Arabidopsis thaliana: one gene and its partners. The protein of the gene in region 2 purifies or fractionates together with the protein of the main gene of each other region. This does not show direct contact. Each region holds a gene or a part of one and is shown on either strand. Other genes may lie near its edges.

Evidence for each region. Proteins that work in one complex are often made in the same cells at the same time.
Region 1: the proteins of GAMMA CAL2 (region 2) and ATP3 fractionate together in Arabidopsis thaliana (co-fractionation; one large-scale study listed by BioGRID). This does not show direct contact.
Region 3: the proteins of GAMMA CAL2 (region 2) and AT2G33220 fractionate together in Arabidopsis thaliana (co-fractionation; one large-scale study listed by BioGRID). This does not show direct contact.

The regions. Positions count from the first base shown.
Region 1 is NC_003071.7:14,017,877-14,023,192, reverse strand, and holds ATP3 (gamma subunit of Mt ATP synthase), read left to right. Parts: upstream 1-2,007; 5' UTR 2,008-2,145; coding exon 2,146-2,243; intron 2,244-2,644; coding exon 2,645-2,688; intron 2,689-2,799; coding exon 2,800-2,952; intron 2,953-3,151; coding exon 3,152-3,265; intron 3,266-3,347; coding exon 3,348-3,475; intron 3,476-3,586; coding exon 3,587-3,709; intron 3,710-3,808; coding exon 3,809-3,928; intron 3,929-4,017; coding exon 4,018-4,215; 3' UTR 4,216-4,583; downstream 4,584-5,316. Other genes in the region: RLP26 (receptor like protein 26), read right to left, coding at 1-1,323; RLP25 (receptor like protein 25), read left to right, coding at 4,853-5,316.
Region 2 is NC_003074.8:18,032,768-18,037,541, forward strand, and holds GAMMA CAL2 (gamma carbonic anhydrase-like 2), read left to right. Parts: upstream 1-2,167; 5' UTR 2,168-2,339; coding exon 2,340-2,733; intron 2,734-3,629; coding exon 3,630-4,006; 3' UTR 4,007-4,274; downstream 4,275-4,774. Other genes in the region: IDN2 (XH/XS domain-containing protein), read left to right, coding at 1-205, 313-522, 612-848; AT3G48675 (egg cell-secreted-like protein (DUF1278)), read left to right, coding at 1,425-1,784; CXE12 (alpha/beta-Hydrolases superfamily protein), read right to left, coding at 4,419-4,774.
Region 3 is NC_003071.7:14,076,665-14,081,476, forward strand, and holds AT2G33220 (GRIM-19 protein), read left to right. Parts: upstream 1-2,185; 5' UTR 2,186-2,309; coding exon 2,310-2,524; intron 2,525-2,967; coding exon 2,968-3,039; intron 3,040-3,120; coding exon 3,121-3,261; coding exon of another isoform or gene 3,262-3,265; exon of another isoform or gene 3,266-3,514; intron 3,515-3,654; exon of another isoform or gene 3,655-3,740; coding exon 3,741-3,837; coding exon of another isoform or gene 3,838-3,971; 3' UTR 3,972-4,079; downstream 4,080-4,812. Other genes in the region: HSP60-2 (heat shock protein 60-2), read right to left, coding at 1-21, 119-208, 310-396, 475-579, 660-931, 1,057-1,216, 1,379-1,510, 1,591-1,615 and 1 more; YUC7 (YUCCA 7), read right to left, coding at 3,747-3,971, 4,112-4,483, 4,609-4,812.

The DNA.
Region 1 (5,316 bases), on a different chromosome or scaffold from region 2:
AGGTATACTTCCTTCCAAGCTGTTCTTCCTGAGGTTTACTACTTTTAAGTTACTCAGACATTGAGGAATTGGACCGGTGAATTTGTTGTAGGATAGATCAAGGACGATGAGAGAGCTTCGGTTGCAGATTGAGAGAGGTATGTTCCCTGTGAAACTATTGTTCCACGCAGACAAGTAGATCGAACCGAGTGGTGGAGTAGGAAACGCTCCTGTCATGGAGTTATAGGCAAAATCTAGTAACTGCACTGATGAGTTAAGTAAAACTTCTGAAGAACCTTCGAAACCAGTCAAAGAATTGTTAACAAGATTTGCTATGCTAAGACGAGGAAGCTTCCAAAACCACTCAGGTACTTTCCCTTTGATTAGATTGTTGGAAATGTCTATATGCTCCAAGTTTTGAAGGGTCTTAAAGATGTTTGGAAACTCGATAATGTCGCACTGGATCAAAATCAAGCTTATTAAGCTCAATGGAAACTCTGAATCTGAACTTAAACTGGCTGGTAATAACCTATTTTGACGAATATCAAAGACCAACAAAGATTTGAGAGGAGCGAAGACGCGTAAGTCAATTGGGTGACTTATGTTTAGGGAAGCAAGTTCAAGATGGTTGAGGTTTATGAGCTTTGAGATAGGCTCTATGATTTTTCCTTCAAATTGGTTAAACCCAAGGGACAAACGAACTAGCTTAGATGAAGAAGAAGAGTTTGGGACATCAATAGAACCAGTGAGATGATTCTTTTTCAGATCAAGATAAGACAAGAAAGGCAAAGTGGGTAGTAAATCAAAAGGTATGGCTCCTGAGAATTGATTGTAAGAAAGGTCTAAAAAGGAAAGCTTTGTTAGGTTTCTTACAGGTGGGAAACTACCAGTGAGCTCATTATGGGAAAGGTTTAAATGGGTAAGCAAGATAAGGTTACTAATTGAGGAAGGAACTTGACCAGTAAAGCTACTAGAGGCAAGAGACAAAACCTCTAATCTGGTGAGATTGCTGAATTCAGAAGGGAGTGAAGAGGAAGTGAAGTTGTTGTGAGAGAGATTAAGGTAACGAAGCTGATGCAACTCAAAGAGACTACTGTTTGGTTTGAGAGTTCCAGTGAAGCAACCACTTGGGAGCTGAAGCTTCGTGACCGCACCAGTCGTGTTATCACACTGGACTCCGTTTAAGTAGTCACTGCGGTTGCAGCCGTCAGATTCAAACTCATTCTTGAATTGGATTAGAGCTTGGATCTGGTCAGGAAGACAAGCAAGAGCGTCGGTCGTCAAGAAGCTTGAAACGAAGACGATACAGTAGAGTAAGAGTAGCGAGCAAAAATGCAAACGCATGGTGTTTGTGATTGAACCAACAAGTTGAGGAAATTATTGAACCCAAAAAAAGACATATCAAAGATTTGCTATATATATGTTATTTTAAGCCGCCTTTACTAAATATGTGGGGTTTAAATGTCACGTGAAATGTCTACGAGTCACATTTGTTCATGAAGTAAATTCCACGTGGACATCTCTGACTATATAACTGGGAGTTATAGTTGACTGTTAAAATTGGCTTCAAAATTTAGCAACAAGAGGAAATCAACACTCAGCAATTTACTCTCATTGGATCAAATGAACGCACATTAATATGACGTAACGATGATGACAATTCTGTTTAATAGTATCTTATTGTTTACAGATACAGAAAAATAAATTAAGTGGGCCTTTCAATAATTAATAGGTTGGTGAAATGTTACCTTCTCTTGATATTTTTTTAATTTTCATTTATTATGAGTATGTTGCGTTATGAAACAACTCGCATTAATTTGGTTATAGATTGGAGAAAGAAGAAGTCATGGTCAAAACTCAAAAATGTAAAAGGAAACAAGACGTGTATGACGACGTGATTGATAATCTGAGGAGATACCTTTGGGCCTTATAAGATGGGCCGAAAAAGTAATAGTATTAGCCTCTATTCGGCCCGATTAATTTCAGGGGAAATTTTGGTAATAAAGTGGAAACGACGTCGTGACAAAACTACTGTGTAGACTGAGAAATAAAGAAGCCCTTGATTTTGCCCATTGCAGTCATCTCTCTCGAATCTCTCTCTATAATCCGATCTGAGAAATTTCGCCGGAGCTAGGTTTTGTTGTTTACCGATCAATCCTTTAATCAATGGCAATGGCTGTTTTCCGTCGCGAAGGGAGGCGTCTCCTCCCTTCAATCGCCGCTCGCCCAATCGCTGCTATCCGATCTCCTCTCTCTTCTGACCAGTGAGATCTCTTTCTCATTCATCTTATCCTTGCGTATAAACACACATTTCGCTGTTCCTCTGTGATGCTTTTCTGAATTTGAAATCGTTTGATTTAATTGAGTCGTTGATGTTTTCATTTCCTTGAAATTCGAATCGACGAAAATTTATGGAAATTGTGTTGTTTGACTCGGGAGCTGCTAATGAGTGAGGTGTTTTTGTTCGTCTATTTGGAGTTTTGAGACTCGGAAATGTCCTGTTAAGCTCGTTTCGTTGAATTTCCTATTGCAAGACCAATTTGATTTTCCTCGTAGAAGAGACTTTGTGATATGTTGTCTAAGCTCGTCAGATTTAATCAGCTTTTACCTGCAAAACTTTGTGATATTTAGGATGATGAGGACTAAACTTGTATTTGATTTGTAGGGAGGAAGGACTTCTTGGAGTTCGATCTATCTCAACTCAAGTGGGTAAGTCAAAGCTGATAATTGGAGATTGGTTTTACCTAGTTAGGATTGTGTTCTAAGAAATCTGTGATGTTCTAATCTTTATGAATTGCTTTACATGTATTCTCTGTGCAGTGCGTAACCGCATGAAGAGTGTTAAGAACATCCAAAAGATCACAAAGGCAATGAAGATGGTTGCTGCTTCCAAGCTTAGAGCAGTTCAAGGCCGAGCTGAGAACTCCCGTGGACTTTGGCAGCCATTTACTGCACTTCTAGGAGATAATCCCAGTATGGTTGGCTATATAGAGTTGTTTTTCTTAATAACTTTGTTCTAGTATCACTCCGGGCTTGCATCGGTATTGAATATTGATGACGACGAACAAATCTGTTGCTCTTACTATAGTCTGAGATATCCATCCTCTTGCTATCTCTTGTTGTTATTGTGGATGTGTTTCTGATTTCTAGCGTTACTTGATGGAAAAACCAGGCATTGATGTAAAGAAGAGTGTGGTGGTCACTCTCTCTTCTGACAAGGGTCTCTGTGGTGGAATCAACTCCACTGTCGTTAAAGTGAGCAGGGCTCTGTACAAATTGAATGCTGGTATGTTTGAAAACACTACGATGGTTCCGTGGTTTAGTTTTCCTGAATTGCATATCCGATATTAATTCTTATATCATTGCAGGTCCTGAAAAGGAAGTTCAGTTTGTTATTGTCGGAGAGAAAGCAAAGGCTATAATGTTTCGTGACTCAAAGAACGACATTGTCCTCTCTGTAACAGAGCTGAATAAGAACCCACTCAATTATGCTCAGGTAGTTCTTAGTTGCTAATAGTTAGGAGCAATAGTTTCTCTCCCCGATCCATTTGTTCTCGAGCTATTTATTGTTGTCTATAGTGTTTCTTATGTTTACTTGCTGCTTCAGGTGTCAGTTCTAGCTGATGACATCCTGAAGAACGTTGAATTTGATGCTTTGCGCATTGTCTACAACAAGTTCCATTCAGTTGTCGCATTTCTGCCAACTGTGTCCACTGTTTTGTCACCTGAGGTAAGTCATAACTGTTGAACGTCTCAATTTGTGCTTAATATTTCACATTCTGCTTTAAGTATAAACTTGATTGTATATGTGTGTGTTTTGCATTGAAAGATTATTGAGAAGGAGTCTGAAATTGGAGGAAAACTTGGCGAGCTTGACTCATATGAGATTGAAGGTGGGGAAACAAAGGGAGAAATATTGCAGAATCTGGCCGAGTTCCAATTCTCTTGTGTAAGTAACCAAGAAAGTTTAACTTGATTTATGGTATTTCAGCATAGAAAGAAACATAACATTTTGGTTGTTTACGTAAATTCTACTAGGTGATGTTCAATGCGGTTCTGGAGAATGCATGTAGTGAGATGGGAGCAAGAATGTCTGCCATGGACAGCTCAAGCAGAAACGCAGGAGAAATGCTCGACCGTCTCACCCTCACATACAACAGGACTCGTCAAGCTTCTATTACAACAGAGCTTATTGAGATTATCTCTGGAGCTTCTGCTCTTGAAGCTGCTAAATAAGCCCATCCGTGTTAGTTCTCTTTTCTTCGCTTTGATATTTACCCCCACCTTGAAGGAGAAGAGTGTGTTAAAATTTTACTGAATCAGTTTCCTTTGCTGGCTTCTTGTTGAGACCTACCAATGTTTGCTCAACGATTTTTAATAAACATACCTGTAATTTCCAGCAGGATTTCGAATAATTGCATTAACATTTTGTTCTGATTCAGACTCGCTTCCTCCAGAGTCTGTAGTGTTGTTTTGTGCAAACACCATGTACTCCGGTTTATTTGATATTTTTTTACCTGAGCCAATATTTTGTCACTTCGCCAGGTTTTGAAGTTTGAAACTTTGAATAATCCCACAAACAAATCTAAACAATATATCCAATGCAGTGTATGTTGTCATGCTAGTGGATTTCTAGAATTTTGGAATTATGTATAAACAATCTGATGTTAGAAAGTTTAAACTGATGTGAATCCAATCATGTGAAACAAATTTTATGGCTCAATATCTCCTCTTGATCGAGGTCCACTAGGGTATCCAGAGCTGCGGATATTTGAGATATCTGGTAATAAATTTACCGGAGGCTTGCCACCAAATTATTATGAGAATTGGAAAGCATCATCACTCACGCTAAAATCAAGAAGGGGGTTTATATATGATATACACTAAGAATGCTTACGGTAGCATTTCTTATACCTATCAAGATTTTATAGATTTAAGATACAAAGGTCTACACATGGAGCAAAAGAGGATTCTTACTTTATACAGCGCTATTGATTTTTCCGGAAACAGACTTGAAGGACAGATTCCTGAATCCATTGGTCTCTTGAAGGCACTGATTGCACTCAACTTATCAAACAACGCTTTCATAGGTAATATTCCCATGTCTATGGCCAATCTTATTGAGCTTGAATCATTAGACATGTCTAGAAACGGACTATCTGGGACTATTCCTCAAGGACTCAAGACCCTCTCGTTTTTGGGGTACATAAATGTGTCCCATAACCAACTCAAGGGTGAAATACCACAAGGAACACAAATCACTGGGCCACCAAAATCCTCATTTGAAGGGAATGCAGGGCTTTGTGGTCTTCCTCTCGAAGAAAGTTGCTTCGGAAC
Region 2 (4,774 bases):
GCAGTTGAAAGGACAGCTCAATGTGATGAAGCACATGGCATCAGATGGCGATGCTGAAGTTGTGAAAGAGGTGGACATCATCTTCAAAGATTTAGGTGAGAAGGAAGCACAACTCGCAGATCTCGATAAATTTAACCAAACTCTTATCCTTAGAGAGCGCAGGACCAACGATGAGCTTCAAGAAGCTCATAAAGAATTGGTAAACGTATGTATCATTCAAAGTGTTGTTCTTTTCAATCACATCGAAAAGCTATGAGAAAGCTTGACATTTTACTAAAATCTTGGTTTTGTTTGTTTCATGTGCCTTCATAGATTATGAAAGAATGGAACACAAATATCGGTGTTAAGAGAATGGGAGAGCTCGTGACGAAACCATTCGTGGATGCAATGCAGCAGAAGTATTGTCAGCAAGATGTGGAGGACCGAGCAGTTGAAGTTCTCCAACTTTGGGAACACTATCTCAAAGATTCAGATTGGCATCCATTCAAGCGGGTCAAGCTCGAAAATGAAGATAGAGAAGTGGTAAGACCGCCTTCTTGACTCTGTTTGTTATGTTGAATCTCTCTGAAAGATTAAAAAGCTTTTTTGGTGTTGTTGTTAATTGTGTTTAGGAAGTGATAGATGATAGAGACGAAAAGCTGAGGGAGCTAAAGGCAGATTTGGGAGATGGTCCTTACAATGCGGTCACGAAAGCTTTGTTGGAGATAAACGAGTATAACCCGAGTGGAAGGTATATTACAACAGAGCTATGGAACTTCAAAGCAGATAAGAAGGCTACACTTGAAGAAGGTGTCACTTGTTTACTTGATCAATGGGAAAAGGCGAAACGCAAGCGTGGAATGGCTTAGAGGTTTAACCATTTTTGATAACCGAACAAAAATATGTTTTCATTTGCAATTGTTATTTGCTAATATAGGATTTCGATTGATGGTTTGCAGCTGCAAGATGATGGACATGGGACTGAATAAAAAGCCGATGCGGTTTTTAGTTGCAGAGAAATGTGTTTGGTTTGACCAAACTTTGGTGGATTCTGTTTGTTTTTCTTCTCAGAACTTAGTGAATAATTGACACAACTTTGATGTCTTGCATCGGTTCTTTTCATTGTAACATTTGTAGGAGTTTGGCCGCTTTGGACAATAAGAAATAAAAATATCATTGTAATATAATTCACATGTAAAACAACTAGATTTGGCCTCTCTTCTGTCTCATATCTTAAGCATGTCATTTAGAACCTTTTATTGTAAAAACAAACTTTGTCATGAGTTACTTTTTGTAGTCAAATTTGATATTGACCCCTTCCTTATTATGCTAACACTGTTTTCATCTTATAACCCTATAAATCTAAGTTTCGTGAATATAGCCAAAATCATCTACATCATTGCAAAGAACCTTAAAGGAGAAAGAAGAAAACCGGCTTGAGAGAGATGGAAAACAACTCAGGAGCTATTCTCTTTGTGATCTTAGCTATGACCATTGTTCTTCAAGTGAGGCCAGGGTTCTCTCAAGCACTCCCTACGATCCCCGGACTTTTCCCACCGGGTCTTCCTATTGATATCATAAAATGTTGGTCATCTCTCTTTAACGTCCAAGGATGTGTACAAGAAATCTACAAATCGATATTTTCTGGTCAGTTTGCTAGCATTGAAGCCCCATGTTGTAAAACGTTTTCAGCTATAGATACAAACTGTTGGCCACATATGTTTCCATTGAACCCATTCTTCCCTCCTATTCTCAAGAACAACTGCGAGCGTATTGCTACGACTCCATCATCAACACACAAGTGAAGGCTACACACAAATGTTGCGAGCCAGTTGTTAGCTTCGAGGTTTAAGAAGTTCTTTTATCGATTTGAGAGATCACAATGCCCAATAATCCAAAATTCTCCTTGCAGTAATTTTTTTTTTTTTGTAATCTTTAGCTTAAAATAAACAAAGCTAAGCTTTTTGATGTACTCGTATGTGTTTGCCATGTAGTTTGTTAAAAGAGTGGTTATAACATAAACAAAATTTTGTTTGCGTTTATATATGAAAATATTGTTCTTACACTATGGAATAAAACATATTTCAGCATTTAAAATTTGTAAAAACGACGAACACGAACGCATATCAATACCATACCAAAAAGATTATATCGTACATGAAACTTGTTGCAGACAATGGCATGACTAATGGGCCTCTATTAACTTAGCCCATAAGGCCCAATAAAACTTTCCAAATAGTTTCATTTTTCAGATTTTGAAGAATCTCCCGACGACTCCTCTCTGTCTCCTCCTCCGGGAAGCTTTCTGTCTCTCTCTCTCTCTCTCTACACAAGACCTTGAAGAATCCGATTCCATAACAATGGCGACTTCGTTAGCACGAATCTCTAAAAGAAGCATAACATCGGCTGTTTCATCGAATCTGATTCGGCGTTACTTCGCCGCGGAAGCAGTAGCGGTGGCGACGACGGAAACACCTAAACCGAAATCGCAGGTGACGCCGTCGCCGGATCGGGTAAAATGGGACTACAGAGGCCAGAGACAGATAATTCCTCTGGGACAGTGGCTACCGAAGGTAGCTGTAGATGCTTACGTGGCACCTAACGTTGTGTTGGCTGGTCAGGTCACCGTCTGGGACGGCTCGTCTGTATGGAACGGTGCCGTTTTGAGAGGAGATCTTAATAAGATCACCGTTGGATTCTGCTCAAATGTCCAGGAACGGTGTGTTGTTCATGCTGCGTGGTCGTCGCCTACAGGTTCTTGTTCTTTGTCATTTTTTCGGAATTTGAGTCTCTGTATGGTTCCATTGTAGCTTCTAGTTTGAGTTCTGGATATCCAATTGCTGTAGTTACTGCTTGCTAGCTAATGGAATCATTGATATTGGAATTTAGGGTTTTCATTTTCATCTTCCATTTTGATTATGGAAAATGTAGAGTCTCACCTTTAAGGAGATTTTACACTTTTATCTGAAGTAGTGAAGTGTAAGTAAGCATATTTGTTTGGAGTGAAGATGTCCCCAGATCAAGAATCATGAATGATATTTGTTCAGTAAAGTTAATCTTCAGAGCATTTTGCGTTTAGCTAGACAAGGATGCATAGAATTGCGTAGTTCTTTAGGTGATTAGTGATATTGGAAGCAAGAAACCCATTGATGATATGTGCTTGATTTTAAAATTTAGGTAATTCAGGGGTTGAATAGATTAGCATGGTGGAGACCATCTTGTTTAGTTGTAGAAAGTTGCCTAGCAGCTCTGGAGAAGTTTCAGGAACTATGTCATAGTAAAGATTTTTAGTTATGCGGAGAGAATTTTGCAGAAAGTTGATATTATATTCAGTGGTTGGAACCGAGATTCTGAAGCTGCGTCAAGCTGAATGAACATAAGCGTCTTTTAGTCTTACCAAGGTGGATTCCGTGTCAAAGTCTTTAGTTCAACAGCCTCCTGGTTTGATTAAGCTGTAGTTTACAACTAGTACTTAATTACTTGATTCACCATTTTTTCGGGTTAATAGCTCTGTATTATCAACCAGTCTTCATGCTTTTTCTATACTAACATCTTGAAGGATAGAGCATACTGTGGTGCTGCTTTTGAATTTTGATATGATAGATAAAAATCTGATCTTAGAAGATACTTTCTACTTTGATTTTTTTCAGGATTACCAGCACAAACATTGATCGATAGGTACGTGACAGTTGGTGCATACAGTCTTTTAAGATCATGCACTATCGAACCAGAATGCATCATCGGGCAACACTCAATCCTAATGGAAGGTTCACTGGTCGAAACCCGCTCAATCCTAGAAGCTGGTTCTGTTTTACCACCTGGCAGAAGAATCCCATCTGGTGAACTATGGGGAGGCAATCCAGCAAGGTTTATTCGAACACTCACCAATGAAGAAACCTTAGAGATCCCGAAACTTGCTGTTGCCATTAACCACCTAAGTGGAGATTACTTCTCAGAGTTCTTGCCTTACTCAACTATCTATCTAGAGGTTGAGAAGTTCAAGAAATCCCTTGGAATCGCCATCTAGAAAGCTTCTTCCAGGTTTCTGGCTACTTCCCTCATTAAGAAAGCTTCTTCGTTTTCGGAATTTGATCTGAATAAGTAGCTGCGGAACAAGAAAAAGAGCAGAGCTGTGTTTCAAATGTTGTCTTCTCTGTTTGTTTTGTTTAAGTTCATATCCTTGTGTTCAAACTTTCTATGAAGATGATAATGGTGAAAACTGGAAAGTGTAAAACTTCTTTCGTCTCCCCTCACAATTGGAAAAGCTAATAATCTCGTAGTGTTATAGAATTAAACATCTCGTACTAAAATATTTTCATCTTCAATTTTTATTGTGTTGCTTTGGGCGAAAAGCCAATCACTGAAACATTACAGAAACTGAGAGACGCAACTAAAATATGTAGTACCAAATTATTCCAATATCTCTAGAGAGCACAAAGCTAGTTCCCTCCCTTAATAAACCCTGAGAATTTATGCATGACTTCAATAGCATTATCACATTCAGGTTTCAACAAATGAAAAACATGATCTTCTCCTTCACTCTCCACCACTTCAACCTCTCCTTTCCAACCAGACTTCTCAAGCTTAGCCGCGTAACCCCAACCCTGCCTCACCAACGCATCTTTCTCAGCCACCATTACCAAAACCTTACCACAACCCAACCCAGACAAATCCACCGACTCTGATTGCACCACGTTGAGCAACGGATCATCTGTTCCATCTTTGCTATTAGGACTTGCCATCATCCAAAACGCCTCTATCTTCATCCTCAACGTTTCATCTTTCGTATCCTTCT
Region 3 (4,812 bases), on a different chromosome or scaffold from region 2:
AGGGGCCTTCACAGCACAGACCTATAAAGCAATACCATGTACATCAATCCAATCAAATTAATTTTTTACTAAGACGTTGTAAGGAAAAGGCAAATAACAAAAGGCTGAAAAGAAAAACCTTGATATTAGCACGAAGTTTGTTCAGAATTAGGGTGGCAAGAGCATCGCTCTCCACATCCTCAGCAACGATCAGCAGCGGCCTTTGCTTCTGAAAAATGGCAGTGAAAATAAATTTCGATCTTCAGATCAAAGTAACTTAATGAATATCAGACACTATTGACAGTGAAGAAATCGCCAAATTGTTTATACCTTGAGGGCCAGTTCTAATACTTTCACCATTGCGTTTATATTGGAAATTTTCTTCTCGTGGATAAGAATGAGAGGATCTTCTAGTTCCTGCAACACATATTCATTCAGAGCAAATTAAATCCGCAATTCCTTAAATTGATAAAGTAACAAGGTGGGAATCCTTACACATTTTTGTGTTTTCGGGTTAGTTATGAAGTACGGGGAGATGTATCCCCTGTCAATCTTCATACCCTCAACAACTTCCAGCTCATTAAACAAGGTCTTGCCATCCTGAATCAAGAGATGATAACATTGGTCACCTTAAGGAATAAGCAAAATAATTTGACATTTAGGGATAAAATTCAACTCACTTGAATTGTGATCACTCCCTCTTTGCCGACAGTTTCCATAGCCTTTGCAATCAGTTCACCAATTTCCCTATCTCCATTAGCTGATATTGTTCCAACTTGGGCGATTTCTTCAGAGGTGCTAATCATGCGTGCTCGGCTCTGCAAGTTCGTCACAACAGTATCAACTGCCAATTTGATACCACGTCTTAGGTCCATTGCATTCATTCCAGCGGCAACTGATTTACAACCTTCCGTGAAGATAGCTCTAGTAAGGACTGTGGCACACGTTGTTCCTGTAACGCATACCATATATTTTGTCAGATACAAAAACACCGATTAATATGAGTAGATAGGAGACTAACAACCCAATTAGCAAAAACAGAAAAAACGTTTTAATCCATTGAAAGGGAACACTTACCATCACCAGCTACGTCATTTGTGGCGTTAGCAACCTGTTTCACAAGACTGGCACCAACGTTCTTAATTCTATCCTTGAACTCAATGCTCTTGGCAACAGTCACACCATCCTTTGTCACCTTTGGTGCACCCCAGCTTTGTTCGATGATGACATTACGACCCTTCAAAAATGGTTTTAGACATGTAGTATCAGAGAGTGTGAGGGTAACAAAACAGACGATTGTTGATACTTGTCAATAGGTCGTCACGTTATCTATTTTTAACTAGATTCACTTACAATACAAGTCTCTTACACAGAAATTATCTGAAACATAAGTTTATACCTTGGGTCCCATAGTGACTTTAACTGCATCAGCAAGATCCTCAACACCCCTAAGCATTAAAGCCCGAGCTTCAACACCGAACCTTATGTCTTTTGCTGCATAATTCCTAGTAGAATTGAGCCTGCTTCCAATCTAACAATACACAAATTCACATCAATACATACCCACAAACGGCTAAACCACAAATTAGATACAAAATGAAGAACACGAACCTGGCTTGTACACTTTCTGGCAATCCTGTTGAAACAAAGAAAAATAAATCCCATCAATAAATGAAGCAACTTCCAGAAATACAAAGAAAATAGAAGATGCTAAACTCTCCAATGGCAGAGAAATATTCAATTCAATCCGATCAAAATCCGATTCAATTCCCAACAGTTTCTCGCAACTTTCCGATTTCGAGGATCCAATCAGAAACAAATTCACAGAAAATAAAGCAGCATTGGAATCATATACACAAAGAAAACCAAAAAGTCGAATAGATCTACCTAGCTTTGGAAGCAACGTTGGAGACAAGCCGATACATGGTGATTGATTCTCTCACACAACCGAGAAGATTGCAATTAATTCAGATCAGACCGAACTAAAGAAGCTAAATTGACAAATTCTCTCACTCGTAGATGAGGAGAAATGAAGCAGATCGTCGAAGATTCTATAAGCAGTAGGGTTTAGGGTTTTACGTTTTCTCCAAGCTCATCATTGCTTGGTCGAGTTTTAGCCTCCGGTTTTGGATCCGGTTCGAGTTTTGACCCGGTACTATTTTAATATGGGCCTTTTAAAGCCCAGTTCATTATTACAACATTTTAAAAAAAAAGTCACCAAAAAAAAGATTTTTCATTTCATTTCATTTCTGATTGTCTTTCTCAGAATCCCTAGAACACACACTGATTAACGAATCAAAGATCGATTTGGGGATCAATCGAGGAAGAAGATGACGGAGGCGATGATAAGGAAGAAGCCAGGAATGGCGAGTGTGAAGGATATGCCGTTGCTTCAGGATGGTCCACCACCTGGTGGATTCGCGCCGGTCCGATATGCTCGCCGGATCTCCAACACGGGACCTAGCGCCATGGCTATTTTCCTTACCGTTTCCGGTGCTTTTGCTTGGGGCATGTACCAAGTTGGTCAGGGCAACAAAATCCGCAGGTAATTAGATAATGAGATGTGGAATTTGAGTTTGGTTAGGCTTTTCTCTATTGTGAAATTTTGAGTAATTTGGGATTGAATCTTAAGACAATTTGGGATTGATGCTTATAAATTTGTGTGGTTAGTCTCGAAATTGGTTACTAATTAACGATCTCTTGAGCTGTGATGAAGAAAGCAATCAAATTGCAAGATGATATACTAGTGGTTAGTTGCATATTGGTTTTTAGATGGTCACATTGTGAGTTATTTAGCTTGATTAGTGTCGATTTGGAGTAATTTGCAACGAATAAGACAACACAGTGTTATCTTTCTTGGTGTGTGTAAGTGACATTCTCTAATAGTCTTCTATTGTTAGACTCTCAATTGCATAATGATGACAAAAGTGTCAAAATGAGCACAATGTATCAACTCCAAAGTTTTAATGAAGATTGCTGTGATGATAGGGCGTTGAAGGAAGAGAAGTACGCTGCACGTAGAGCAATTCTACCGATTCTTCAAGCTGAAGAAGATGAAAGGTAGGATTCACAAAAGAAGTTATGTTTGCTTGTGTGGTACAAACTCTCACATTGGATCACCACGTGTTGATTTGTAAATAGGTTTGTGTCTGAGTGGAAGAAGTATCTAGAATACGAGGCGGATGTGATGAAGGATGTTCCTGGATGGAAAGTCGGTGAAAACGTGTACAATTCTGGTCGTTGGATGCCTCCAGCTACCGGAGAGCTTCGTCCTGATGTCTGGTAAAATTTCAATGGCTCCTTTTGATGATGATGAATGAATGTTTGTTTAAGCATTTTAGAACCTTGATGTTTGTTGTCTCTATATTTCCATCGTATAATAAGAGAAATGATACATACACAGTTCATGTATTGCTGGTACGGTACGGAGGAATGTTTTCGGTATTTTTCCCTCATTCACTTATTTCTGTCAATGACGAAATCAGTTTCAGACACATGTTCATATATTTTGTTTAAACTAATCATGTTTTAAACTTTCTAGATCAGCTCTAATCAAACACATTTGCTAACAAAAGATAAGTTGGAATGTTAAAGAATACGTTAAATACATGGAGCCACATCCTCCTTACAAGAAAATAAGCTCAAACACATTTCACAGTTATACTCTCATGGAGTGGGCTTATCTCTTTGATTTTCACATCACATAACACTATCGATCCTCTCTTTTTTACCTCTTCTCATATATGTTTTCGTATAAACAGTGAAAATCAAAAGTGTGAAATACAACGACGGTGGCGAGTAGCGACAGTTTTGATCTGTTGCTTAGTTTCTTCTTTCCAGCTATTGGCAATGTCATGAGCTACACTCATTGCATCGAACGATGCACCTGAGAGTCCTCTTCCGGTGAATCCCACCGCATACAATCCAGCCTTCCCTTTCCACCCTTTTGGAAATGGGTTTTTCTCTATCCCAATCTCACCCAAGTCGTTTTCCTGCATAACAATAAATCAATCACCAATCAACGTCTTAGTTTTTATCAAACTTCCCATAACTATCAATACCGGTATTCTATGGTCCTATAAAATGTTATCTTTTGAGACAAAAATCTGAAAAAGATAATACTTTTGTCTACCTTAAGCCATGAAGGGACATTGCTTCTGTAACCAGTGGCAAGAATCACTGAATCAATCTGCAGAACTCGACCATCCACGAGTTCGACCTTTCCCGGACCAAACTTAGCTATTCCCGCTACGATTTTGATCTTTCCTGATTTGATCATTGAAATGGCTCCGATGTCTAGCACGGGAGTTTTACCTGCGGTGTTCTTCAGCTCTAACGGTCCAATTTCAGGCCTCTTGAGCCCATACTTATCGGTGTTCCCTAGAAGTAACCTTGTGAGAACGAGAAGAGTCTTGTCCACGAGCCAAACCGGCATCCATTTCATCATTGTTACACTTAACTCGAACGTCGACTTCCCAAGAACTTCTCTCGGTAATACATGAACCTGATCGAACAAGGAAAAACAGAGTATAACTATCAGATGCTCTGTTTTAAACAGAGGAGCTACTAAGAATCAGGGTGCTCTGTTTTTCGTAACTTGGTGGGTATAATTTACTGAATTTTACTTACGGAGCTTCGAACGACCATTGATGGGCTCGCATCATGATTGCATAGATCAAGAGAGACTTCCATGCCTGAGTTTCCACATCCAACTACGAGAACTCGTTTTCCGCGGTACCTCTCGCCGGATTTATAATCTCCAGCGTGAAGAACATCACCACCAAAATCTTCTAAACCCTCAAACTCCGGCACCACTTTCTCAGCATTCTCTCC